Linked DNA regions of Ovis aries. The protein of the gene in region 5 purifies or fractionates together with the protein of the main gene of each other region. This does not show direct contact. Links are inferred from orthologs where the notes say so. Each region holds a gene or a part of one and is shown on either strand. Other genes may lie near its edges. The genes, in order: L3MBTL2, YAF2, BRD8, TFDP1, MAX, KAT5 and RUVBL2.

Evidence for each region.
Region 1: the proteins of MAX (region 5) and L3MBTL2 purify together in Homo sapiens (affinity purification with mass spectrometry; 6 studies listed by BioGRID and IntAct, with this or other methods). This does not show direct contact. The link is inferred for Ovis aries from reciprocal best matches to the Homo sapiens genes MAX and L3MBTL2.
Region 2: the proteins of MAX (region 5) and YAF2 purify together in Homo sapiens (affinity purification with mass spectrometry; 3 studies listed by BioGRID and IntAct, with this or other methods). This does not show direct contact. The link is inferred for Ovis aries from reciprocal best matches to the Homo sapiens genes MAX and YAF2.
Region 3: the proteins of MAX (region 5) and BRD8 purify together in Homo sapiens (affinity purification with mass spectrometry; 3 studies listed by BioGRID, with this or other methods). This does not show direct contact. The link is inferred for Ovis aries from reciprocal best matches to the Homo sapiens genes MAX and BRD8.
Region 4: the proteins of MAX (region 5) and TFDP1 purify together in Homo sapiens (affinity purification with mass spectrometry; 5 studies listed by BioGRID and IntAct, with this or other methods). This does not show direct contact. The link is inferred for Ovis aries from reciprocal best matches to the Homo sapiens genes MAX and TFDP1.
Region 6: the proteins of MAX (region 5) and KAT5 purify together in Homo sapiens (affinity purification with mass spectrometry; 3 studies listed by BioGRID and IntAct, with this or other methods). This does not show direct contact. The link is inferred for Ovis aries from reciprocal best matches to the Homo sapiens genes MAX and KAT5.
Region 7: the proteins of MAX (region 5) and RUVBL2 purify together in Homo sapiens (affinity purification with mass spectrometry; 3 studies listed by BioGRID and IntAct, with this or other methods). This does not show direct contact. The link is inferred for Ovis aries from reciprocal best matches to the Homo sapiens genes MAX and RUVBL2.

What each region holds. Positions count from the first base shown.
Region 1 is NC_056056.1:218,193,470-218,197,467, reverse strand, and holds the start of L3MBTL2 (lethal(3)malignant brain tumor-like protein 2), read right to left. Parts: upstream 2,801-3,998; 5' UTR 2,734-2,800; coding exon 2,710-2,733; intron 903-2,709; coding exon 662-902; intron 1-661. UniProt on the Homo sapiens protein: Putative Polycomb group (PcG) protein. PcG proteins maintain the transcriptionally repressive state of genes, probably via a modification of chromatin, rendering it heritably changed in its expressibility.
Region 2 is NC_056056.1:144,816,565-144,820,064, reverse strand, and holds part of YAF2 (YY1-associated factor 2), read right to left. Parts: intron 332-3,500; coding exon 179-331; intron 1-178. UniProt on the Homo sapiens protein: Binds to MYC and inhibits MYC-mediated transactivation. Also binds to MYCN and enhances MYCN-dependent transcriptional activation. Increases calpain 2-mediated proteolysis of YY1 in vitro.
Region 3 is NC_056058.1:47,270,508-47,274,487, forward strand, and holds the start of BRD8 (bromodomain-containing protein 8), read right to left. Parts: upstream 2,801-3,980; 5' UTR 2,792-2,800; coding exon 2,773-2,791; intron 1,600-2,772; coding exon 1,503-1,599; intron 1-1,502. Other genes in the region: kinesin-like protein KIF20A, read left to right, coding at 3,837-3,980. UniProt on the Homo sapiens protein: May act as a coactivator during transcriptional activation by hormone-activated nuclear receptors (NR). Isoform 2 stimulates transcriptional activation by AR/DHTR, ESR1/NR3A1, RXRA/NR2B1 and THRB/ERBA2.
Region 4 is NC_056063.1:86,066,332-86,069,831, reverse strand, and holds part of TFDP1 (transcription factor Dp-1), read right to left. Parts: coding exon 3,347-3,500; intron 3,056-3,346; coding exon 2,912-3,055; intron 2,587-2,911; coding exon 2,518-2,586; intron 2,330-2,517; coding exon 2,178-2,329; intron 1,119-2,177; coding exon 952-1,118; intron 340-951; coding exon 261-339; intron 1-260. UniProt on the Homo sapiens protein: Can stimulate E2F-dependent transcription.
Region 5 is NC_056060.1:75,272,682-75,276,181, forward strand, and holds part of MAX (protein max), read right to left. Parts: intron 2,039-3,500; coding exon 1,915-2,038; intron 1,442-1,914; coding exon of another isoform or gene 1,425-1,441; exon of another isoform or gene 670-1,424; coding exon 482-669; 3' UTR 1-481. UniProt on the Homo sapiens protein: Transcription regulator. Forms a sequence-specific DNA-binding protein complex with MYC or MAD which recognizes the core sequence 5'-CAC[GA]TG-3'. The MYC:MAX complex is a transcriptional activator, whereas the MAD:MAX complex is a repressor.
Region 6 is NC_056074.1:40,318,170-40,322,149, reverse strand, and holds the start of KAT5 (histone acetyltransferase KAT5), read right to left. Parts: upstream 2,801-3,980; 5' UTR 2,785-2,800; coding exon 2,607-2,784; intron 2,280-2,606; coding exon 2,211-2,279; intron 2,125-2,210; coding exon 1,988-2,124; intron 1,701-1,987; coding exon 1,545-1,700; intron 1,456-1,544; coding exon 1,381-1,455; intron 1,281-1,380; coding exon 1,206-1,280; intron 873-1,205; coding exon 624-872; intron 543-623; coding exon 453-542; intron 1-452. UniProt on the Homo sapiens protein: Catalytic subunit of the NuA4 histone acetyltransferase complex, a multiprotein complex involved in transcriptional activation of select genes principally by acetylation of nucleosomal histones H2A and H4.
Region 7 is NC_056067.1:55,305,493-55,308,992, reverse strand, and holds part of RUVBL2 (ruvB-like 2), read right to left. Parts: coding exon 3,369-3,500; intron 1,585-3,368; coding exon 1,455-1,584; intron 1,309-1,454; coding exon 1,242-1,308; intron 1-1,241. UniProt on the Homo sapiens protein: Possesses single-stranded DNA-stimulated ATPase and ATP-dependent DNA helicase (5' to 3') activity; hexamerization is thought to be critical for ATP hydrolysis and adjacent subunits in the ring-like structure contribute to the ATPase activity.

The DNA.
Region 1 (3,998 bases), on a different chromosome or scaffold from region 5:
AGAGGAAAAGAAGACAGGATGAATGGAGAGGCAAAGAGTATTAGATGCTTCTCTTCTAAAGAGTAAAGGGACCAAGAAACAGGAGTGTCATCACAGACCATCTAACCTGCCTCTTTGCACAGGCAGTCCCCACACTGGAGGCCCTGACACCGAGGTCCAGCAGCTGTACAAGCATCACACCTCTGACGCCAACTGGCTTCCAGATGATTCACAGGGATTCTTATCTGCCCTCATCCTCTTACCTGGAGGTCACTTAATTCTGTATTTCCTTGCCTCTCACTTCCGACTCACGAGCTATTTCTTGTCCCTTCCCAGAGAGTAACCAGATCACATTAGGTGTCGTATATTCTCAAGACCCAGGCTTAGAAATCCACCAACTATTATTATTTACACAAACGCAAAAGCACCACCATGTTAATGATCGGCATCTAATATGTGCTGAATGAATATTAATTGTGAGAAAAGAATGAAATCACAACTTGAAATCAGACTGAAATGACCCTTGGGGATACTTGGGGTGCCTCTGTCTCTCTCACAGGTCCTTAGACATCAGATCAAAGAGCCCTTTACACCTGGACGGCTCCGCCCACCTGGCCTACATCTGCCTCTCCATCCATAGCCTCTGAAACCTCCCTATCTTTGGGGGACACTTTGAAGGCACCTGGCTCAGAACCACTGCCGTCCAAGGACCGGGGCGTCCCAGGGCTGAGCAGATGCAGCGGGGAGGTGGGCAGCTCCCCTGCTTCCCGATCCTCATGTTCTGCTTCACTTGACTCCTCAAGATAGGAGCTGCTCTCACTGCCCACACTGCTGTTGTAACTCCGGAAGCTGTCATAGCCGCCGAAGAGCTCCAGGTCATCGTCTTCCTCTTCCTCCTCCATCGGTTCTGAAGACGGAGTCTCCTAGGAAAAGGATGACACAAAGCAGGCAGGAGCAATCGTGGTTGGCTTACTGTAAGACAAGGGAAACTGCAGGTCTGCTATCAACTCCCTTTCCAGGTCCTGGTCAAGTCAACGCTTCTGGGCCGAGCGGCAGGTACAATCAAACACCCCTTTCGTAAACACCAGGATCATTACTCTTGTTTATACCTTTCTCAACTGCAAGTCAAAAGAATACCTTAGCCAGACAGAAACATGTATTAGGAATTCACCAGGGTCCTCTGCGGATTTATACATGACGACATTTTACCACAATTCACACAGAACAGAGTGATGTGAAAATATACTAAGCATGGTGCTTCGTGAAGACATTCTGGAAAAGATGTATTCCAGAAACTCATTCTTCCCCCTTCAGCAGGTATACACCAAAGTAATTTCAACTCAAAAACAATTTAAGTCAGACGAAAGTTAATTTGGGGCCCAGACTGCCCTAAAGAGGATTTGAGGCAAATGACATACTAGCACTGTGGGACATACCTAGCTTTGGACCTAGCCTTGATCCTAACTAGCTGTGGGTCCTTGGGCAAGTTATTTAACCTGTCTGGGTCTCATTTTTCTCATCTATAAAACAACAACAAAAAAAATTGGTTCAAAAGATGTGCAATGTGAAATGAGGTATTCTATATGAATCTACGTGGCATGTAGCAGAAAAGGTGTGAAGCGTTTGGGCTCTAGGCCAAGACTCCAAAACCATCCCTACTATATGACCTGCAGCAGTTCAATCTCAGTGCCTCGGTTTCCCCATCTGTAAATGAGGACAATTCCACCTATTTCATAGGCTTTGGGGGAGAAGTAAGGGTTACTATGGGAAAGGCACTCAGAATAGTGACATGCAAACAGCAAGTGCTCAATAAATGCTGGTGATCATTACTGGTTAAAAGCACAGGCACTCAAATCGGATATGCCGGAGCTGGAATCCGGGCTCTCCTACTTAGGGCTCTCGGTTTCTCCATCAGTACAATGGCTGTAACAAGCCTTCTTTAGAGTGCTGCTGTGCGCACCCAGGCGCTATGTAAAGCCTAGTTCTGTTCCCAGCAGTCAGTGACAGCTCTGAAACTGGGAGTTATCATTCACACTCTACACTGATGATGATTCTTCTTGACTCTCGGAGAGTTTGTGAGCGATTCCACTTTATATTTACACTACATATGCAAATGTGCCAGAAAGGACATTCAAATATAAGGTAACCAGAAGCCAAATGATGAAAGGATATATGGGTTGCAGGTGGTGGGAAGAATGGGAAAAGCAAAACAGGGAGAGTTTTGGAACCTGACAGACTTAGTGCCCATCTCCTTCACTTTACAGCTGCGTGGCCCTCCTGGGGAGTGGCACTACCCTCTCCAAGCCTCAGGTGCATGATCCATAAAAAACAGACAATAACACAGGACTTGTTACTGTGGGATAACGCACGAGAACGCTCCAGATACGGAGTGTTTATTAAACTTTAATCTTCCTTTACTTCCCACCAGGATGTGACAGGCCTCACAGTCCCTAAAGAGGCCACCATGAGACAAGGGGGAGAAGGAAGATTCAGGAGCTCTCATATCCTGAACCCAGTTCCTCTTCCCCCAGGCCAGTGAAGCTGTTCTTCCCTCAACCTCACTCGGACCCAGGAGAACGGGAGCAAAAGGCGATGCCAATCGCCTCTGGCCTTGCTCAGCCTAACTACCTGTTTATCCATTCTTCCATCCTCCACCCTCCAGGCGTCGCTCAAAGGCCCACCGAGCGAGGCTCTCGGGGTTCCCTTTCCGAGAAGTCCTCTCCCTCTCACCTCGACGCCCCGGGGCTTCTCCATGAGACCTAACACAGTTTCTTCAACCGTCACCAGGTGCAGGAAGCCATATTGGCCTCGCCGCTCTCCCGGAGCTTACTCATTGGCCGCCTCCCAGGGCCGAAGGCCAATCACGCTGCAGGAAAGAGGTAAAGCCGGTTCCGCGCTGGCCTGAGCCCCGCCTCCCCTGGAGGCGGGGAAGCCGCGGGTGCTTATGGGACTTGTAGTTTCCTTTGGGCTGCGCGTGGAGGGGGTCGTTGCTGTGGCGCCGTGAAAATTTCCCCGCCCCAGACCTGCCTGACCCGGGAGGATAGTTCTTGTTTCTCCACGGTAACCTCTTGCTATCACACCGACTCCGTTCTTCATTAAACAATTATTGAGTACCTAAGAAGGTACTAGCAACCTTCCCTGGTGGCTCAAAGGTTAAAGCGTCTGCCTTGGAATGCAGGAGACCAGGGTTCGATCCCTGGGTCGGGCAGATCCCCTAGAGAAGGAAAATGGCAACCCACTCCAGTACTCTTGCCTGGAGAATCCCATGGAGGGAGGAGCCTGGTATGCTACAGTCCATGGGGTCGCAAAGAGTCAGACACGACTGAGTGACTTCACGTAAGAAAGTACTGTTCAGGCACCCTCCAGGAAAAACCTCGCCCTTTCCCTGATGAGAAATTAAACGTGCCCTAGTGCGGGGATGCCTAGCAGAGAGACTGTTCCCTGTTTAGGCAGAAACTGGAATACTCACTCTTAGGTCCAATGGTATAAATGTCCCACATGCTTAAAATTCTGCAACACTCTACCTTGCATCACCATCTCCTGAAATAAACCTCAGATATGAGGCTCTCTGCCTCATTCTTTTGGGACCCACAACGGTCTTTAAGGACCCACAACCGTCCTTACTCACAGTTCTAGGTGCTGTAGTAGAGCTTTAAAAAAATATATATTCATTTATTTGTCTGTGCTGGGTCTTCCTTGCTGTGTGGACTTCAGTTGCAGAGAGGTGGGGGTAAGGTGGGGGCCACTCTTCCTTGCAATTCGTGGGCTTCTTATTGCCGTGGCTTCTCTGGTGCAGAGTACCAGCTCTAGGACACAAGGTCATTAGTTGTGGCACACAGGCTTAATTGCTCCACAGCACGTGGGATCTTCCCGGACCAGGGATCAGAACCCTGTTTCTTGCATTGGCAGGCGATTCTTTACCACTGAGCCATCAAGGAAATTCTATCATGGAGCTTTACAAACATCTTAAATCAGGGACAATCAGTCACTGTTTCACAAATGAGGAAACAGTGGCCCTT
Region 2 (3,500 bases), on a different chromosome or scaffold from region 5:
CATATTTAGTTTCTAATATCTTCAACTTGAAAAAATACTTTCATGACATAGTAAAACAGATGAAATCTTTTATTTCTACATATTTCACATTCTACTTTATATATCAGTGTTAAAAGACAATATTAAATGGTTAATTATATTATTTCAAAAGTACCATTAAAACACTCTTCAAATTTACCTGGTTTTCTTATGACTGTTCTTTTTGCTAGTTGTTTCCTTTTCACTTTTTTCTTTTTCTACTTTATCTTTTTTCTCTTTCTTTGACTGTGTAGGGGGTACAAACTGCTGAGTAACCTGCTGTGCAACCAACTGGGAGACAGGTCGAGGTTTCCTGTGTACATGTTAAAAACAAAGGTTTTTTTCTTACTATAATTTAAGAACATGATTTTTTATGAGAATACCTCAAATTATGAGAATAGATATATATTGTGATTTTCACATATAAAAATTTTTCATATGTAAGGTAATTCAGATATGCAATTTAACAGATATATATACATGTATATACACACACACATACATTATTGTCTTTCCTAGTCAACAAAAATAGAACTATAATAACGGTTCAAAGTTATTGTCCAAGATATATAGTCAAACTATTAAAATGTAACTGTCACGTAAATCAACATGAAAATTATTAAAAATGTATATCAAACTGTGCTCATGGGGAAGCAAACATATAAACAAACATGAAACTTTTAAATTAAACTTGAAAGTTTACACTGAAGTAAAATCTAAATGTATCCCTCCTCTCTCAGAGAAGGAAATATCTCACCATCTGTGACAGCGGCTATTCTTTTCTTTAAAAATCTTTCATTTATTCATTCAGTACATTTTCTCCTTATTGTTAAAGTCTTTAAGGTTCCTTACCTATCTAGCCACAATTTCACTGTGCTTTTTTGAACTTGGAGATCTTCCCAGTCTTTTGAGACTTGCCTAGCTTACTTATTAAAAATAAATAAATAAATGTACTGAGAACCTACTGCAAAACTGTACGGAGAGAGATGAAACGTTGCCAGACTACAGCCTTTGGTACCAGTTGTCACTCTATTAGCCCAGGGTCAAGGATCCCACCAACTTTATGGTACAGTGTGGGTGGCTGAGGTCAAGATTCAAAGCTAATAGTCTCTTAAAATGAGAAAGACTACTAAAGAGGGGAAAAAAAGATGGGAGGAACAAAATAGGGAAAAATAAGATAAAAATAAATCATAACAGATGGTCTACAAACAACAGTAATCTATTGCCTGGAAAATCCTGATCCTATTTTGGTCAGCACAACTATTAAAAAAATTTTTTTCCTCTGTTCTTCTAAAACAAGACAAAATAGAAACCAAAGAGAAAATATTGCACAATCTAGCTTTCAAAGCTGCAAGGAGGAAGGAATCCTTTGAAGGAGGAAACAGGAGATGCAGTATATAAAACATCTTAATAGATGGATATTGAATTTTGTTTAGAACCAACGGAGTCTGAAGTACAGGTAGAATATCCAGGAAAGATGTCCAGAATACAGTTTAAAAAGTAGGGCTGACCCAGATACCAGGCAGGGTTAATGATACATATCAAGAGTTACATAGATGAAAATATTATTGGCTGAGCTTGTTCAGGAAATAAACTTTAAAAGAAAAAGTACTAAAGCACCGGTTCTCAAATTTAAGGTACATCAGGATTACTAGAAAGTCTTGTTTAGCTTGCTTAGCTCTGCTCCCAGGGTTCTGATTCAGTAGGTCTCAGATAGAGCCTAAAATCTGCATTTTTAATAGCTTCCCAGTTAAGCAGAAGCCTCTGGTCCAGCCACCACACTTTGCAAAGAAGTGTGAAGGAGTGTAATATATTAACATTACTGCAGCAAAGAGTTTAAGATGGAGAGCAGGGAGCAGCAGAGAAATGAAAAAAAGATATGAAGGAACCTGATAATGCAGAGCCAAGGAGCCTGATTTACTCTTTAAAGATGGGAGATCACTGAAGAAATTCAGACTTGAATTTTACGAAAATTACTGGCAGCAATATGGAAAAGAAAGGTACTACAGAGGCAGGGAAAGCTACTTTAACAGATCAGGCAAAAATAAAAAGGGCTTGAACTAAATGGAAGAGGCCATGGGGTTATTTAAGGACAGAATGAAGAAGCAGAATCAAGGGGATATGGTGACTAATTAAACATGCCTTTCTCACTTCTCAACCAACATAGTCCCTTAGCAAAACGTACAGAAACTCTTGCTTGTTCTCATGTAACCAGTATTCTGTGGATGAAATTAAACAAAAAAACAAGCTCTTAGATGTGAATAAATGCCATGGAAGAAAAGAAAAGTAAGGAACACAGGGAGTTTTAAGGAAGCAGTCGCAATTTTAATTTTACCATCTGTTTTCTCATCTAGAGTATAAACTCCACAAAGAAAGACACGGTATCAGTTTTATATACCACTGGATAACTAGTACCTAGCATAGTATTGGAAAATACTAGATACCTAATATTTGTTGAAAAATGAATGAATGATAAAATCAGGTTTAATGAGGAAAGGTTTTCTGCATTTATTAAAAAATTTTAATTGGAAGACAACTACTTTACAATCAGCCATAAGTATACATATGTTTCCTCCCTCTTGAACCTCCCCTCCACCCTTCACCCACAAAGATGTTTTTAAAGGAAAGGAATACTGTCTCTACGCTTATTCACAGGATCAACCACTCACTACATAGAAGCAAGCAAGCAGTGAAAGGCAAGAGCAGCAGGAATTAATTTCTCTTTTAATTATTCTAGGGTATGCAAAGAGAAAGAAAGTTCAAAGGTGTGGCAGGTTGTGAAAAGATTTGGTTAGACTAGTGCCTGGTGAACAGTGAGTCACCTAAAATTGAGAGTCACTCCAAGCTATATAATGCAACTGAGGTGTAGTCATCATTTGTCTCCCAAGGTATTATGGGTGTCTGAATCTCTTCCTGCCATAACAAATGGAAGTTTGACAACTTCCTTTAATACAGTTTGTACTGTTACTCCCTTAAACCTAAAATTGAATACAAAATAAATTTATAAAAATTTTCAACTGAATTTCAATAAATTGAAAAATTTTTTAAATTCACATTCTAGAGTAGAAATCCTGATGTTTCCATCAATCAGTAAATTGACGTTGGTTATTTAGAGGCCATTATCACTAACTTCAGATACATAATCATGTATATTCTCTTTCTTTAGTGCTGTTTTTAAGCAAAACTGAATATTTTTCTAGGTTTTTCTGGATTCATTATTAACCTCAATACAGTATTTCCCTTAAGATGAAACTGTCTCAATCATGCATTCTCTGATCACGAAGTTTTTAGGAATGTAACTGCTGTGTTGTAGTTAGGTACTTAATATTTTTACAACGCTATCAATCACTCCTTCCCCATCAGTATCTGTCTCCAAGTTGGTACATGTTGCTTATGAGACACAGTTCCTCAATCACTCCCACTTTTACATAAGAAAGAAAGAAAGCTAATTTCCAACTTCATGAACCTTACAATAAAACTGC
Region 3 (3,980 bases), on a different chromosome or scaffold from region 5:
TTCTCTTTGAAAAGTTATTTGAAAAATACATAGAATTGTAGAAGTGTTACATGTGATCAGTAATGGTGCTTTCATAAACTCATTTGAATGGTTAAAGTAGTAGAGATAAACCCTACAAATGCAAATTTGTTTATTAAGTAATTTTAACACTTAAGACAACTAAAAGGTAACTTTAGATACGGAGAGAAAAAAAAAAGTCGGGGGCGGGGAGACCAAATGTTAAAAATGAGACTATGTCCTGGTAGAAAAAAAGATTGGAAAACACACACAGTCCTACTTTCTGGTACTTAAAAGAAACACAAATTAAAACCACAATACAATACCATTTCACACTCAGCAGTATAGCTATAATCAAAAAGACTAAATGTTTGCCAAGCATGCAGAAAAACTGGGTCCCTCATTTATTGCTGGTGGGAATGTAAAACGGTGAGGCCACTTTTTAGTTTGAAAGCAGTTCCTCAAAAAGATAAATATGAGTTATAATATGATCCATTGAGAGTCCCTTGGACTGAAAGGAAATCAAACCAGTCCACCCTAAAGGAAATCAGTCCTGAATATTCACTGGAAGGACTGATGTTGAAACTGAAACTCCAATATTTTGGCCACCTGATTTGAAGAGCTGACTCATTTGAAAAGACCTGATGCTGGGAAAGATTGAAGGCGGGAGAAGGGGACAACAGAGGATGAGATGGTTGGATGGTATCACCAACTCAATGGACATGAGTCTGAGTAAACTCCAGGAATTGGTAATGGACAGGGAAGCCTGGCGTGCTGCAGTCCATGGGGTAGCAGAGTTGGACACGACTGAGTGACTGAACTCAACTATGATCCAGCAATTCCACTCTTTCAAGAGAAATGAAAACATGCCTGCACAAAAGCTTGTACACAAATGTTCACAGCGGCATTAATATTCAGCAAAGTAAAAACCACTCAAATGTTCATCAACAAATGAACAAAATGTGGTAAACCCATACAAGGAACTACAATTTCATCAAAACAAAGAATAAAGTACTGATGCATACTCCAGCATGAACCCTGAAAGCATTATGCTAAGCCCCAGAGTACCACAAAGTATATGATTCCATCTATATGAAATGATCAGAATAAGCTATAGAGAGACAGAAAGTAGATGAGTGTTTGGTGAGGGAGGCGGAAATATTAGAGAGGCGAAGAGATTTGCAGAGTGATTCCTTAAGGGTAAGAGGTTTCTTTCAAGTGTATTTAAAATGTAAAATTAGACTCTAGCATTGGTCCTATGTAAATTATGTGAATTTAATAAATTAAATATTAATAAGTTTTAATAATTTTAATAAATTAAGTTAAATCCTGTGAATATACTGGGAATTCTGTGAATATAATTTTGTGATATGTAATTGCATCTCAAGAAGGCTGTTAACTACTGCTTAAACGTTAACTACTGGAATCCACCGGTACTTACATGAAGGGGAAAAAAAAAAAACGGTTTCTAATACCCAAGGAAGCAGATATCCTAAATACCTTACCAATTTTGATCTCCACTCCTCATGACAGAAGACGCTAAACACAGCTTCTCTCGGATGGACCATGGCTCTGTAGGGCCAGTACTCAGCAGCTTATGTTCTGAAAGATTTAGAGACAACCACTGAGGCACTAAGTCCCAAAGGGAGGATTAAAAGTCTAATACAAAAATGTCCTAACCTGTAAGGACAAAGTGAGCCACTATCACCAAATCTTGATTTTCACCTCTCTAGTAAACACCACCACTAGGATGGTGCCTATTCATTGCTTGAGAACTGCACTTGATTATCTGGCAAAACATTTTTCTGTAAATGCCATGGTTACTCTACCATATTTAAAAAAAAAAAAGTCAAGTTAATTTAGGGCAGTTCTTCCAAAAAACCCAGTTTTAAGAATGCTTTATTCCAGGAACTTCCCTGGTGGTCCAGTGGTTAAGTCTGTGCCTTTTCCCTAGAGGGGACGTGGGTCCCATGATCCTGCCAACCACCAACCTCCCAGCTCTGCCCTGGCCAAAAAAAAAAGAATGCTTTATTCCAAAGTGGACCCCAGGCCTTATTTCCCAGGATTCCGAGCGGCCAACCCCCGCTACTGCCCCGCCTCCTTCTTAGCATAAACTTGTTTACTTCTCTCAGTTACACCCATTCCCCTCAAGCTGTTAGGCCTACAAGACCTTCTCAGTCCCTGAAACAGAGGGAAATGGCTGAGATACAGGAAATGTATTTTTTCCCTAGTGGCAGAAAAAGCTCACGATTAACATGTCCCATCTCTCTGTGAGTACAGGCCTCACAAATGTTCGTCAGAAAATGACTCTTTGGGACCCCGGCCACTCCATATGGCTCACAGCATCTCTGTCCGCACGCCGGAGCCTCTAAGGCACCTTTTTTCCCTCTCACCCCGCAGAGCTGACAAACATACAAGAATTTTCTTAGGCTGCTTTTCTCAAAGCTCCGTGGCCTTGCACACCACAACTAGAGAGGAGCACTCCTCGCGGCAACTAGAGAACAGTCCACGGAAAGCGACGAAGACCCAGCGCAGCCAATAAATAAAAATTCTAAAAGCAAAAAAACTCCGCGGCCTTACTTAAGTGTAAGACTTCACGCTTCTGGGCCCTCAACCCCCAACCGCTGGCCTTAACAGCGCCGCTCGAGCCCAAGTCTCTGATGGCTCTGGGCTCTCAGGTGAATCACTGCTTCTACTCCCTAAGAGTGTGACAGATCTGTTGCCTGGCCTTGGTTCTACAAACACCTTCCACGCAAGAGCAAGGCAGATACTTACTGCCCGTTCCCGTCGCCATCTTGGCCCCGACGTCTCCAACCCCCGAAGGAAGATTTCTGGCCGAATTGAAGCCCAAGGAATTCTGGGAGATAGCGTTCCAGCGTTTATTCGCGGTGCGTCCTGGGAAATGTAGTCCCCTCTCCCCACCCTAGGATGAACCAGCGCCCCAAATCAGGTATTCTTGTGAGTTCCTGAGAAGGAATGTGCGAAAGAACAGAGAATGGTGGCTGAAGCCTTAGGATTTCCTTCAGGCTTCTTAGAAAAGAAATGCCTAGGGTTCAAGAAAAACTGATAAACAGAAGTTCCAGTTGACCCAGCTCCAAAATCCAACAGTTGGTAACCCGTCCCACATTTGAGCAGAGAGGTCAAGCCTAAGAAAACCGTTTCCGGGTTTCGCCCGCCCCCTTGCACTGATTGGTAGGTGCAAGGTTCGCTATCTGATTGGCCGAACGAACTCAGCGCGCAATTTAAAACATTGTATCAGAAACAAAGGTGCGCTTCGTGGGTGGGGTTGTCCTCTCAAGCTGCCGAAAGCCCAGTTTCGGCTGTGGGGTGTGAGTGAGCCGGTCCCGTAGAAGTGTGGCGTCTTTAGGTAAGTGTGCGGCTGAACTTGAGTCAAGTTGGGGCACCTTTGCTCTGGCGGATTAGGCATTCAGAAAGCGGAACTGCCGCCATTTCTGTTTTTCTTAATAATTCTGTCCTCACCGTGGGCCTAGAAGCGAGGTATAGAGAATGAGCCTAGGGCTTCTGACACGGCTGAGGGAGGCTCCCTACTTGGAACTTGGCCTTATGTTTTCGGAGTTAGATATCTGTTCATTCCTGTTCGCGGTCCGAAATGCTGCCTCAGATTGGATTAAATGATTAACTCTTTCTCTCTTTCCCGTTTGCTGGTAGTCGAAAGGAGAAGGGAGTAGGAATTCAGGCAGCGAGACTAGGTTGCCCTGGGGCAAGGGAATTGTTTCTTACCTAGAAAAGAGGGCGAATTCTTCAGCCCCTTTTATCCCTTAAGGTTCTCCTCCCTACCCACTCTTGTCTCTTTTTAGACCTAAACTGCCCCTGCTGCCATGTCGCAAGGGATCCTTTCTCCACCAGCTGGCTTGCTGTCCGATGAGGAGGTCGTAGTCTCCCCCATGTTTGAGTCCACAGCTGCAGATTTGGGATCTGTTATACGCAAGGACCTGCTGTCAGACTGCTCTGTCATCTCCACC
Region 4 (3,500 bases), on a different chromosome or scaffold from region 5:
ACGCAGTTCAGGCGGTTTTGCCGCCGCGGCACTGAATTACTTCAAAAGAAAATAAAATCCATGTACCCCTCCTGGTCTTTACAGGGAAACTCTCATCAGAACAAACAGCTTCTCTGCCCAGAGCACGAGCTCCGGACGACCCTGGGGCCCTGGTGTCCGCTGCGCAGGGAGCCCGGCTCCAAGCAGGACGGAGGCCGCTCACATGAGACCCCGGCTTCCCGCCGGGGAGGGTGGCCGCGCGGCTCTGGGGGCGCAGTTACCTGGCAGACAGCCGCGTGCCGTTAGACGTCGACACTGCCGACGCGACAAACACACCGCCGAGCGACCCCTGAGCCATTTCTGCAAAGAGGAAGAAAACGAGGCAAACGTCACGAAGCAGAGCCCACAGGGCGCTGAGACAGGGCCGATGGCTCCGGGCTGGGCACCCTCCGGAGAGGGGCGAAGACGGCACTGCAGGGCCGGGAAGGGACACGGCCTCCAGGAGACGGACGGGCCAAAGGGGGCCGGCTCCCGCGCCCCGCCTCCCGGCGGGACCCCGCCCCGCCTCCCGGACGCAACCCTCCCCTCCGCCCGGCCGGACCACCACGCCGACAGGTGGGCAGCAGGGGTCGGCGGGGCAGCCGCTGGCGTTGGGGGTCGGAGAGCAGGAGCTGCTTCACGGACGTCCTGCAGGGCTTGGGAGCCCCCAGGCCACCCAATGCGGGGCTCGTGAGGGAACCCACAACCAGGGGGGCACAGGGAGGCCTCTCCTCTCACCAGAGCGCCCCCCGCCGCTGCCAGGATCCCCAGCTTGGCCGGGGCGGGGGGGCAGCAGGACAGACTCCAGACACCTGCTCAGCTGCGAACCCTACAGGCAGCACCACCCCCCCGGAACCGCGAGCCCCCTCAGCCCCCGCCCCCCTTGCTTCTGCGCCTCCCGCGGGCAGGTGACCCCCCCCCCATGCCACTGGCCTGTCACATAAGGCTCCAGCGCCTTCGGCACCAAGCTCCTGGCCACCCTCAGGTCCTCGGGGGAGCAGCTGCCGGACTCCAGCCCGCAGGCCATGCCCATGCGCTTCAGCACCTCGATGTCATCATGAATCTCAAACGTGTTGTCGAAATTGAACAGGTACTCAAACCTGGAGGCGACGGTCACCGTCAGAAAAGCACCATATCCAGGACAGAGCCGACGCCTGACTTGGGGCCCCGAGCCCGCAAACCTTCCCCCGGCACACAACCCACCCATCGGAGGCAGCGACGCCACCGGGACAGGCCCCAGGTGCCGCCTGCCGTCCTGATGCGCCCCGCCGCCCTCCTTTCCAAGGAGCTGCACAGCCCGGGTAAGGAAACCCGCCAGTGAACTCCCTGGGAGCCGCGCCACGCGGCCTGTCAGACACGCAGCGCGGGCAGAGCAGGCCCCGCCCACGCAGCGGGGGGGGGGGGGGTGGCAGAACAGGCCCCACCCACGCAGGGGGGGGAGCAGAGCAGGCCCCGCCCACGCAGGGGGGGCAGAGCAGGCCCCACCCACGCTGGCGGGCAGAGCAAGCCCCGCCCATGCTCGTGGGCAGAGCAGGCCCCGCCCACACAGCGGGGGCAGAGCAGGCCCCGCCCACACATGGGGGGCAGAGTATGCCCCTCCCATGCAGCGGGGGCAGGGGGTGGGGGGGCAGAGCAGGCCCCGCCCACAGCGGGGGGGGGAGAGCAGACCTCTCCCACACAGCTGGGCAGAGCAGGCCCCTCCCACACGGCGGGGGCAGAGCAGGCTCCGCCCATGCAGCAGGGGGCAGAGTAGGCCCCGCCCAGGCTCGCGGGCAGAGCAGGCCCCGCCCACACAGCAGGGGGCAGAGTAGGCCCCGCCCACACATGGGGGGCAGAGTAGGCCCCTCCCATGCAGCGGGGGGAGGGGGTGCGGGGGCAGAGCAGGCCCCGCCCACACAGGGGGGGGAGCAGACCTCTCCCACACAGCTGGGCAGAGCAGGTCCCTCCCACACAGCGGGGGCAGAGCAGGCTCCGCCCATGCAGCAGGGGGCAGAGCAGGAGGCCCCACCCACGCTCGCGGGCAGAGCAGGCCCCGCCCACACAGCGGGGGGGGGTGGAGCAGGCCCCTCCCACACAGCGGGGCAGAGCAGGCCCCGCCCACGCCGGCGGGCACAGCAAGCCCCGCCCACACCCGTGGGCGGAGCCCCCCTCACGCCTACTTGTCGTTGGAGATGCTGCAGTCGATGACGGTCTTCTTGCTGGTGTTGACGATGATGAACGGCAGGTGGATGACCGAGTTGGGCGGGGGCGGCCGGCTGGCCTGCTGCTCCACCTGGCGGTTCCTCTGCACCAGGTTCTTGAAGGCGATTTGCTAAAAAAGACGCACAGTGGGCCCACGCTGAGGCCCGCGGCCACTGAACAGCTAACCTCCCCCTGGGCATCTGCCACGGCCCTGCCCAGCCCCAGCCAACACCGAGGAGGCTGGTCCCCCGAGAGGCCAGGGGAAGCACGCCCGGAACCGAGTGCCTGGAGGGCAGCCTCCGCGCAGGGGCCCCTAACCTGCAGGATGAGCTCCTGAAGCTGCGACTGCTTCTGCTTTATCCTTTCCAGCCTCCTCTGTCTCTCCACCTTCACAGATCAAACACCAAAACAAAACCATAGCGGTTCGTTTCCGAAGCATATTTTAAAATCCAAGGCAACACGGTCACCAAAGACACGAGCCCTGAGCCTGATAGGGGCCGGGGGCCAGAGGAGGCAGCTGCTGCCAGGCGTGCGGGCGGCTCCTCCGTCTCAGGACTGTGCCGCCTCCACCCGACTTCCGCTCCTCTGGGCGTGGAAACCCCCGCAGGCCAAGCGGGCCATCAGCCTCCAGCCCCGGGTCACCGCCAGGGGCAGCACAGAGGCGCCCGGCACTCCCAGGCCCGCCCAGCACCGCAGGGGGGCAGCCGGGCACCTCTAGACTCTGGCACTCCTGGGCGGAGTTGGTGGGCAGGCCGATCCACTTGATCTCCTTCTTCTCCTTGGAGATGATGTTCATCGCCATGAGCACGTTCAGCGCGTCGTACACGCGCCTCCGGATGTTCTTCTGATCGTAGGCCTGGCAGAGACGCGGGGGGTTCCCGACGGCCCAGGACCACGCGCACAGCGGCACGCGAGCCCCGGACACACCCGAGGCCACACGCTGCCCCCCCACCCCCCGCCCAGGGCGGCCCCCACACGGCCCACAGGAGCGAGCAGATGCCACAGGGATGCGACAGCTTCCCGGCACCAGCGGGTCAAGAAACATCCTTCCCAAGGGCTCCGGGGCCTCCGCACCCGCGGGAGGCGGCGGGGCGGCCTCTCCAGGGCTCCGGGGCCGCCTCCGCACCCGCCCGCCCGACGCGCTCACCGACTCGCTGGGCAGGATGTGGCTGTCGGCCGCGCTGAACTCGGCCACCAGCTCGTCGGCCACCTCGTTGTAGGACGTCGTCCCCTTGCGCTGCACCTTCTCGCACACCTTCATGGAGAAGTGCCGCAGCCCCTTCCCGTTCTTCTCTCCTTTC
Region 5 (3,500 bases):
GTCATCTTCTGAAAGTAGAGCAGTCCACAGATTCACAAAGTCTATCAAACAGAGGTGAGGATGGCCCAGAAGGAGAGGCCTGGGTGGGGCAGGAGTCCCCCGGGCATGTGCCTGGAGGGGCTGGAGGAGCTGGTGGGTGGTCAGGACACCATGTGCTCAGAGGTCTGGCCGGCCGTCTGTCCTCCACAGAGAAAGCTGCCAAGTTGGGGTGTTTTGGTTTAAAAATTCCTGGTGGGGACAGGGAATCCCTGAAGGGAAACGTTAAAAAAAAAAAAAAAAAAAAGTGGAAACGGGGAAGGAGAACGAGAGCTGTTGTCCAAGAGCTTCTACGTAAAAATAAAATTTAAAAAAAAAATGAGAAAGAGGAAAAAAAAAACAAAGAGTCTCTTAAATGGTTCTGAGAGTTCTAAAGATGAACTGAAAGGAGGATGAGACGACGGAGGAGACAGACAGTTTTTATTGCTGGCCTGCCCCGTGGAGCTTAGCTGGCCTCCATCCGGAGCTTCTTCCTGCTTTGGGGCTCTTCGGGCTCCGACTCCGAGCTGGAGTCCGAGCCCCCATCGAAGGCAGAGATGGTGCTGCCCTTGGCGTTGGTGTAGAGGCTGCTGTCTGAGGAGGGGTAGTTGGTCTGCAGTTGGGCACTCGACCTCGCCTTCTCCAGTGCACGGACTGAAAGGCAACCAAGCGAGCGGGTTACAGCCTTCTGGAGACTAGGGGAGGAACTGAGTCTTGGGTTGGGGTCCAGCCTGTTCTTCCGAGGGCATGCTGGCCCCTGAGGCTCAGGGTGGCTCATAAGTAACTCCCTTCCGCTGGCTGGCCCACCTGCACACTCCCACTTCCCTTTGCCTTTCCCAGCCAGACACGAGTGCTCAGTGGATACGGCCAGCCACTCTGCAAGGCCACCCAACCCTGAAGAGAAGGCGTGTGAGGTCACCATCCTGCCGTGGAAGCCCAGTACAGAGAGAGGAACACGAGCTCGCTGCGGGACCCAGCAGTGCAGTAACAGTGCAGCTGGCCCAGCAATGCCTGGCTCCACAAGGGTGTGAGGGTCACACATTAGCAGGGAAGGATGACAGAAGATGTACCAGCCAAAGAAAAGTTTTGGCTTAGCTCTCATGTACAAGATCCACTTGGAAAGACAAGCTGGACACTTGGAAGCAAGTCACCAATACACAGAGTACCTGGGTTTTCCAACACGGAGCCCCTACATGCAGGCTGCTTGGCCCGGTAACCAACCCGCTGCCGCCTCCCACTGCCCATCCCTCGGTTCAGCTCGTCTTGAGCCTGGAAGGTCAACCCATTTATTTTGGTTTAGTTTATTTTATTTGAGATGTTCTAACCCAGATGGTTACTTGCATTTCCTTTTACTTGCATCTTCCATGAGGGAGGAAGAGAAGTGAATTCCCCAGGAACAAAGAACTTGATCAGCTCTCGCTTTCCCCTGTGGTTGTAGGAAAAGGCGGGTGTGAGCATTGGAGAACAGCATGGGCCTGGCCCATGGGCTGCCCTGAGTGGACTACCGTTGACACGGGGAGCGCTCACTGTCCCTGAACACCTGGAGTCTCTGGCGCTTACACAGCACACTCCAATCCAAGGACCTCACAGCTCTTTTGAGGCACCTGAGGCCAGCTGCGATCTCTACTACCAGTGCAACACTTGGGCCCCAAGAAGGGGAGAGCGAGCAGGTCAGAAAAAAGAATCCAGATGGCTAAGCCTTAGACTCCACTGTTCCCTCACCAAGGGCTCAGGTCCTTCCTCAGGATGGCTACACTCGACTACAGGCCCAAGCAGCAGGGCTGCAGCTGCTCAGGAGCATGGCTCCGTCACTGGTTCTGACTCTGCAGGCCCCGGCGTGAGGCCCTGACCTGGCTGGCGCACAGCAGGGCCAGCTGCCCCACAAGCTCCACTGCTCACCTTGCTGCTCCAGGAGAGCATTCTGCCGCTTGAGGTCATCAATATCTTGCTGGTGTGTGTGGTTTTTCCTTCGCATATACTGGATATACTCTGTGGCTTTGTCTAGGATTTGGGCCCGGGATGCCTGTTGCAATATGAGAAAAAGCAGAGGGGACAAAATAAAGACCTAGTCCATGCAGCAAGGAAACCATTCCTTTCAGCAAAGGCCACGTGGGGGACAGAAGTAGGAGGGGAAGGGCACGAAGCACTAAGTGCTGTAGAGAATCTTCTTTATGCCGGTCAAGGCACCAGCTGCTTTCCACAGCTTACCTCACTGGCACTCTAAGAAAGGTGGTTCCACTAGGAACCCGAGTCTCAGAGAAGTTTACTGGTTTATTCAAAATCACCAGCTAAAGGGTGTAGAGTCTGGATTCAAACTCAGCTCTGTCTCAACCCTGAACTTGTTTCCCAGCCAGCCTCTTTGGTTCTTTAGGTTGCTTTCACATCTTCGGCCAGGCTGTTCTGAAAAAATTAAACTACCACTTAACTGAGAGCTAAGGTCACTCACTCTCTGCTGGGCCTAGCTATAGGCAGCTGGTCCAGAAAGACAAAATCAAGATCTCAGCTGGAGCTGGCTCAGGATGGGGATGGGTACAAAGGTTTTCATCAAGGTCTGAGACTTCAGACAAGTACTCAGATTGTTGTTAACTAGTTCCAACTAAGCCATGTGACCGAGTCACTATTTCAACCTCTCTGGCTAAAGAGAAGTTTGTGAAAGCTGTCAGAGCTTGGTGTCAACACAGGAAGGGCATGAGATTGGGCCATTTCAGGAAGCAACCACACCTTTACCATGGCTGAGGGTAGCCTAGGGACTGCCCTGTAGAGGAACAAGTTAATGAGCTAATAAAATGGATGTCAGGTTACTTGAATCCTGGAGGTCAAACTTGTCTGGGAGATTCCCTGCAGGGTTGCAAACATGGCCTGAGTTACTCATGACCAAGCAGTCAACTGACTGAACTGGCAGAATGGTACAAGGCCCAGAGAACAGAAGCCCGAGACAAGCTAGTCTAGTGGCTGAAGTCCGGCAGTCATGCCACTGAGACTCCTGAGCAGGAGCAAAGCTTCTGAAATGGCAAAGAAAACAGCCACACTTGGGCGAGCAAAACTATACCCACTTGTAGTAAACCCTGACAATCGCAACTCATAGACTCCAGCACGGCCGGGTATCAGAGAGGTTTGGAAGACCCAGGTTGATTCACCCGTTCTCCCAAGCACTAGAGTCTCCAGGCTTTCCTCTTATGGCATCCTTAAGGCAATTTCCTCAAAAGGAAACTGTTCATATTCAACCATTTTTATCTGGTGTGAATTATGTGTCAGGCACAGAGCAGACACTGTGGGGAAACAAAATGTATTAGTCATGGCCTCTTTGCCCAGATGCTTACTTACTATCTAGTTGAGGAGATAAACATATCTATATACAGACAAATCACAGGGCAGTACCAACAAGCGTAACTTGAGTGGTACAGATTACAAAGGCCACGGGAAGGACGGCTTTTGGCCGGGGTGGTCACCTTGTGTGTGCCAGGAATTAGCCTTGGCTCTGCACA
Region 6 (3,980 bases), on a different chromosome or scaffold from region 5:
CGCTCACCTTGTCACAGTGGTCTAGAACTGAACCTGCAGGATCTCTGGGCTCTGCCAGTACGTCCACTCCTGCCCTTCAGAACCCGCTGCTGGGGATTCCTGTACCCACCCTACCCTTGTGTCAAGGTTCAGAGGTTACCTCCTCTTTGAAGCCTTGCTGATCACCCTGGGATCCTGACAGCCCACTTTTCTCATGAAACATATCACACTGGGATCCAAACTGCTACTGGCCTGTTTGTCTTCCCCTGTGAGCTCTCAGAGAACAGAGATTTTGTCAAATTCCTGGTCACTTTTATCTACCAGCACCCGGCCTACAGCAAGAATGCAGTAAATGCGGTGAAGAGATCTGTCCCCTGTAACTGTCAGTGTCTTCCGGAGCTGGAAGAAGCTACTCACTCAACTCCCCCAGACTCCCGGCACCAAAGCCTTCCCGCTGCCCTTCAGCCCCTGACCTTGTTCTTACGTCCGTCGATCTCAAAGAAGGAGATGGTGCCCTTGCGGTAGATCTCATTGCCAGGAGGATGTCGCAGGTCACACTTGGTCTGAGGAAGAGAGGAGGATCAGGCACAGGGGCGGAGGTGAGGGGGTGCTGCTAGGAGGGTGGCCCCTGGGACTCCCCATACCAAGTGACGCTGCAGACACTTGAGGCTTCGGCCATACTTGAGGCAGAACTCGCAGAGGTAGAGGACGGGCAGCGCGGTGAGCTCCTGAGGGTACGGGGAGAAGTACCAGGGCTTGAGGCGGTGCCGGCCCAGCTCGATGCACTCGATGTTCTTCATCCGGGTGACGATGTCGTCGTGGCTCCGGTCAGATACCAGGCTCCCAGTCATGCGAGGAGCGGACGGGATTCCATCTGAGCTGTCCTGGGAGTCCTTCCCAGGGCCCGTGAAAGATACCAGGTTACAGAAGACAACGCAAGCAGCACACTCCACAGCTCACAGCCCTTCCACAGGTTTCCTAACAGCAACCCTCCTAGGGGAGGTACTGCAATCCCCACTTGCCAACTGAAGAAACCAAGACTTGGATGATTTTCACCTGGAAGGTGATAAAGATCACCTAGTGCAGGATCTGAATCAGTTCCGCCTCACCCCTAATTCCAACACCCTTTCTGCCCAGTACCCCTTGTTCATTTTTAAAGTAGTCACTAAACCCCGTGCCCTCCTTATGTCCCCTTCGTTTCACCCTTCCCTCCTCCCCAGACCTACCTCATCAGTGCCCAAACAATTTGATTTCCGCTTCCGCCCGGGCTGAGCTGCCACTGCCCTCCGGGCTGATCCATTCTGCAAATGATAGTGGAGGGACAGAAAGAGTGGCTGTGAGGTGAGCCCAAAGGGGCTATCAGAGGGTAGGAGGGCAGAAGAGATGGCTTGGGGGACTCACCTGGGGGAAAACTGAGGCCGGGGCTGTCTCGCTGGGCACTGGAGTTGCTGGTGAAACCACCTCCACCTTCCGTTTCTGCAGAGAGAAACCAGGACAGGTGGGTCAGAAGGTAGAGAAGGTGGGACCTGAGAGGAAAGCAAGGTCCCTGGAATTGCTGAGGGTACCGTTGAGCGGTGGTTGGGCTGCAGGCAGGAGCTGGAGGAGAGCGGCTGGTCGGGCTCGCCACCGGGAATGGCCTCCCGCTCCTTGGGCAGGTTGAAGCGGAGTGTGATCTGAACCGGGATTGGCAAAGTCTTCCCGCTGGCCTGGGCGGAGGCCGGCTGTAGAGATAGGTCCAGGGTCTTCCTCTGGGGCTGGGATGGTGGTGGGATGGGGAAGGGGAGTAGGGTCCCCTCGGCATGGAGTGATCAAACCCCACCCTCTGCCCTCTCAAGGACACAGGTACAGTCACTGGACTCTGGAAGCTACATCTGCAGTCTGGGCCCCATCCTTTACAAGCTGAAGCCAGGGTGGGAGGGCACAGCCTGTCGCCCATCTGGGAGCCACTGAGGCCAAGAGATTTTAAAAGTAGGCAGGAGAGAAGAGGTGAAGCAGGGGACCTACTCACCACCTCTCTCTCTGGAGAGCCGGGTCGGGACCCAGGAAGTCCGTTCTTAGTGGGGGTCTTGGCCTCTTTCTTGGGGAACTGGATCTTCTTCAGGTCCAGCCGCTCGTGGGTCACCCATTCATCCAGGCGTTTGTTGACTGCAGCAGTGGGTATGGCTCAGGAAGGAGTGCCAGAGGCTGCCCCCCAACCCTCCAGCCCCACCTCATCCCGGCCCAGAACTCACAATCAATGTAATGGACGTAGAAAAGCTTCCGGCCACTGATGTCCTTCACGCTCAGAATCTCAGCGAGTGCTGTGGGAACAGCAAAGGCAAGGGCCTTAGACTGGCCAGGCCATGAAGCTCCACCCTCCTACGATCTGAACTCCACCACCAGGCCCGAACCCTAAAGCCCCAGCACTTGGAACCGCTCTCAAAAGCCCCGGTTAGTCACCAAGTGCCATCCCCTCTTCAAGCCCTGCCCTGACCAGCTCTAAAGGCTAAAAGCCACGCCCCTCCTGAGTATCTGCGCCCCGCCCGCTCCAGGATTCTAGAGGCCCCACCCCCTCCCCGGGGTTCGGTTGACTCTCCCCCCGCCCCTCGCCCTCAGGTTCCTTAGCCCCGCCCCCCGACGTCACTCACGCCACTCATCTTCGTTGTCCTGGTTCCGCCGCAGCACAGGCAGGCGGCAGCCCTCGATTATCTCCCCCTGGGGAGACAGCGCGGCGCCAGGGTCGGCTACTGGGGGGCCTCGGGCTCTACCCACCTCCCCTGGCTCCCTCCGCCCCGCCCCGGGCACCGGACTCACCACCTCCGCCATCTTCCCTCCCTCCACTGCCACTTCCGGCCCCTCTGGGAGCCGTCACTTCCGGGACTGAGCACGTTGTAGGCCCCGTCTTCCCCGAAGCGGCTTTACTAGTAGGTTCTTAAGAGACACCGCCGCCCAGCTTGCTGACGGAGCCGGCCAGTTTGGCTGGCAGGGGCATAGGGTGTTTTAAGGCTCAGGTCAGGTCCTGGATGGAATCCCCACAACGTGTGCAACGATTGGAGGAAAACTGAGTCAGTCACGTGACGCTCACCGGGTGCGACGCCGGTCACGTGGGATTGGTGTTTGTGCCTAGCGGGCGGCCGCTTGGCCGTCTCCTAGTGGCGTCAAGGCTGCGTCACGGGGAGTGAGCTGCGTGTGCTCGGCTGGGGGGTTGAGGGGCGGATTTCGAAAAGTGGGCACCAGGACCCCCGCAAGTTGTGGACTTTCCTAGGGTTGGGGGTCCACGGAAGAAGGTTTATAGGTTTGTTTTGTATGTTAGGTTGCTAATTATACGAGTTGTTATTGTTCAGACGTCTAAGTCGTGTCGACTGTTTGTGACTCCCGTGAACTGCCAGGCTCCTCTGTCTTTCCCTATCTCCCGGAGTTTGCGTAAACTCATGTCCATTGAGTCAGTGATGCTCTCCAACCATTTCATCCTCTGCCCTCCCCTTTTCTTGCCCTCAGACTTTCCCAGCATCAGTGTCTTTTCTTCGCATCAGGTGGCCAAAGTATCGGGGTTTTCATGTTCACCGTCAGTCCTTCCCATGAATAGTCAGAGATGATTTCTTTTAGAATTGATTAATACATTCAACAACTGTTTAATAATCTGTTACCGTGTCCCAGGCATTTTATCTAGGAGCCTGGGATACATCAATGAATAAAATAACTTGCAGCTCCTGGAGCTTGAATTCTTGGAGGCTGAGAGGGAAAAGAGGGGTGTGGATCACAAACAGTAAATATATTTTAAAAATAAATTATCTAGTCTATTAAAGAGTGATAAGTGTTTTGGGAAACAGCAACAACGAAATACACAAGGTGCAGGGAATGACCAGGTAGGCAAACTAGCCTGCAGGGCAAATCCAACCCTATTCTAGCTTTCCTGCTCAGTGGGCAAAGAATGGTCTTCACACTCTTTTTAAAGCTTGGGGAGACATAAATAGAATATTTCATGATACATGGAAATTCTGAAATTCAAATTTCAGGGTCCA
Region 7 (3,500 bases), on a different chromosome or scaffold from region 5:
TATTCACTTTAAGTCTATTTCCACTGAAAATGAGAAGCTAATGAAAAAAGAGGAGGGTGTTCCTGCAAGACACAGAAACAGAAGGTAGGACTGTGCATCAGGTCAATGGATTTGAAGCAATTTTAGACTTCCTTTTATTTTGCATTTTATTAACACCTGTAACTTAATATTTAACAGAGAACTACAAACACTGCTGAACCTCGAAGACATACACAAAAAGTCATATATTCTTAGATTCCATCAGAGGCAAGTCCATTAAGACAGGAAGTAGATTTGTGGTTGCCAGGGACTGCAGGTGGCGTGGGAGGGGAGGAGGAGCAACTCTGAAAGGGTTGATGGTTAGTTTATGTTGTGTGATTTTATGTCAGTGAAAAACAGACCTACAGAAAAACTGAAAGAGAGAGAAAGAGATGAAGGGGAAACCAGACTATGACAGAAGACTTAAAAGACATATAAGTTTTTAAAATGGGCAGTCTTGGAATACACAGTTGGGTGATAAAAGCTAATGAAACTCCAACGGGTGAGGGCGGCTATTTCTATGGGGTACTGTGGAAAGAGGCAGAGGAAGGGGCAGGGTTGGAGGTGCTGGCTAAGTTTTAGGGTTTTTTTAAATCTTTTTTTAAAGTTTTTTTTTTTTGGATGTGGACCATTTCTTAAAGTCCTTATTGAATTTGTTATAATATTGCTTCTGCTTTGCCTTGGTTTTATGGCTGAGAGGCGCGTAGGATCTTAGCTCCCTGACCAGGAATTGAATCTGTGGTGGAATTGCGGAGTCCTAACCACTGGACCACCAGGAAGTCCTGTTAATTCTTACTGTTAGTACTGTTAGTACAGTTGAGGTACTAAGATTTATAAATCCAACGGGTCTGTAAGCCTAACTATTAGGAATTAACTGTGAGAAACTTCAAGACCTCCTCCGTCATTCCATTGCTTGGTTTGTTTTTTGGGGCAAGTATAGTTGATTTACAATATTGCGTTAATTTCTGCTGTACAGCAAAGTGATCCAGTTAGACATAAATATGTTCTTTTCCATATCCTTTTCCATTGTTCCACCACTTAGCTCACTGTGCCCCTCACAAACGGACAAACCGCCATCAATTCAACCGACCCTCTCTTGCCGGCATATGGATGACTCTAAGCTGCATCTCGAACTTTCCATGGGATTCTGACCTCAGTGCAGACCCAGCACACCCTACCCACCCCCAGCCCTTGGGGTAGCCTAGACTTGGGAGCACACTCACCGTCCCTGTGGCCGGCCGATCAATCTGGATCTCCACCACCTCCCCTTCGATGATCTCGGTCTCCTCCCTGGCGAGAGAACAGATCTAAGGAGATAGCTCGCGGCCTGGGCCCTCAGGAACTGCTCACCCCTGTGGGCCCCTGGGCACAGGACGAGCTGGCATCCCTCAGGTGGCGTCCCAAGGCTGCTGGGAGCTACCATTACTCCTGCTTACTTGATGCGCACGCCGATGGAGCGCCGGAAGGCCTGGGTCAGTGCCTCTGTCTTGCTCATCTCCAAGGAGAAGATCTCACTGCCTGCGATGGCTGTGAATGGGGTGTCGGGCCCCAAGGCCTGCGCCATGCCTGAGGAAGAGGGGAGGCAGTTTGGGTAGGTGGTCCAGGCACGAGGTCCTCACATCTCCCTAACCAGCTCTTCTTCTTCAGACAGGAAAAAGGGGCTCGGTGCTGTGGGGCAGACAGGGAGACTTGCAGAAAGTGAGTGATGGCGGGCCATGTTGGGAGGCCCTGGGTTGGAACCCCACACTGCCCAGACCAAAAACTTTATGACTCTACAGTCATGCTGGACCTGCCTCCCAACCTCTGAGAGCTGTTTAGCCTCAGGGCTTGGGGGGGATGAGCAGGGGTGGAGGCAAGGGGCTGAAAGAGGTTAAAAGAGACTGTGCAGGTTCGAATCCCGGCTTCAATGCTTAGCACCAAGTTATCTTAAGAAGCCTAAGCTGCTCCCCAAGCCAGCCTGCCCCTCTGGGTAATGGGAACCATAACATAACAAGCGCTGGCAGGGAACGACATTGCTGCATAGGAGCAATGATAAGGGCGGGCAGGCATGCCCTGGTGCTCAGCCGGGACCCCGATATGTGACCTGGGACCAGCACAGGGAAGGGCCTCCTCTATGGTCTGGGGCCTGGGGTCAGCTGGCAGACAGTGGGCAGTTCCTGCCATCACTCCAAGCTCCGGGCCTCTCTGCCAGCTCCCCTTCCTGGGGGCTCTGCCCAGCTCTGAGCCAAGTCTCCCAGACAGGAAGTCACTGAACCCTCCTGACCAGTGCGAGGTGGCAACTCTTCCTGGTCCCCTTTCCAGAGGCATGCCACACTCTGCACCTGGGTATCATGTTCCGTACTGTCTGTTCAGGAGACTCCCAGACTTCCTGCGAGTCTCAGTTCCAGTACTGACTCACCTGGGATGTCCCTCCTGACAACTGCCACCCCATTCTCTCCCCATCACCCTTCATCGGAGGAGAAGCCTCCTCTGTTCTCTACATGGACGGGACTGTGTCCACTAACACCTGCCCCAGGCTGGAAGCCCCTTAAAGTCAGGACTTTGGTCTTAATCATCTTGGTGTCCCCAAATATGAGTGTTACTTTTTCTTAACTGAGGACCTAGCTGTTGCCTTGAGTCTCACTGCCTGGCCCCACAGTCCAGGCACAAAGGTGAGAGTGAGTGGGAAGAGACTCCAGGAAACCTTCAACAAGGAAAAGATGTCAGAGAGCAGTTTTGAAGGACAGATAAGAGCTCAACAAGGATAAGGGACAGTTGTGAGTAAAAAGCTTTTAAATTACTAATGAATTGCAAAAGAGACTGCTGATTGTCTATACAATGCTCATCTTTCACATCTTCCTTTGTTCCAGAACGCCCATTTCAGTAAGGTAACAGTAGTCCCAATTAAAATATAAAAAAAAGTTTTAATGCCTCTCTCTCTCTTGTGCAGTAGAGTGTGGTCATTAACTTCTAGTCAATAAAATATAAGCAAGAGAATGTGGGTGCCCTGAGACAGCTGCTTAAAAGGAGCTCCCTCTAGGAGGTACACCCTCATTACAATTCCTTTCTCCTTCTTCTTATATGGAGTATGGGTGGGATGGCTGGAGCATAGGCCACCTTTTTGTAACCCAAGGTGTCCCTGACATGGAAGCAAGTGATCTCGAGGCAAGAAGGTAGGAGCCCTCATAGAACTGCTTAACAAGCCTGAATTGGCCTATGTTTAGACTCTTCTATGTGACAGAAGAAAGCCTTAGTGTTTAAGCCACTTCCATTCTGTGCTGTCTGTTAGACATGGCTGAACCTGACCCTGACTTACATGGGAGGATCATCCGGTGAGGCCAAAAGAGCTACTGCCTGGAGAAGCACCTTACCCATGGCAATGGCTGTCTTCCCAGTGCCTGGCTGGCCAGCAATGAGAACCGCCCGGCCAGCAATCTTCCCTTCTCGGATCATCTCCAGCACCACACCGGCTGCCCTCCGGGCCGCCAGCTGGCCCACCATGC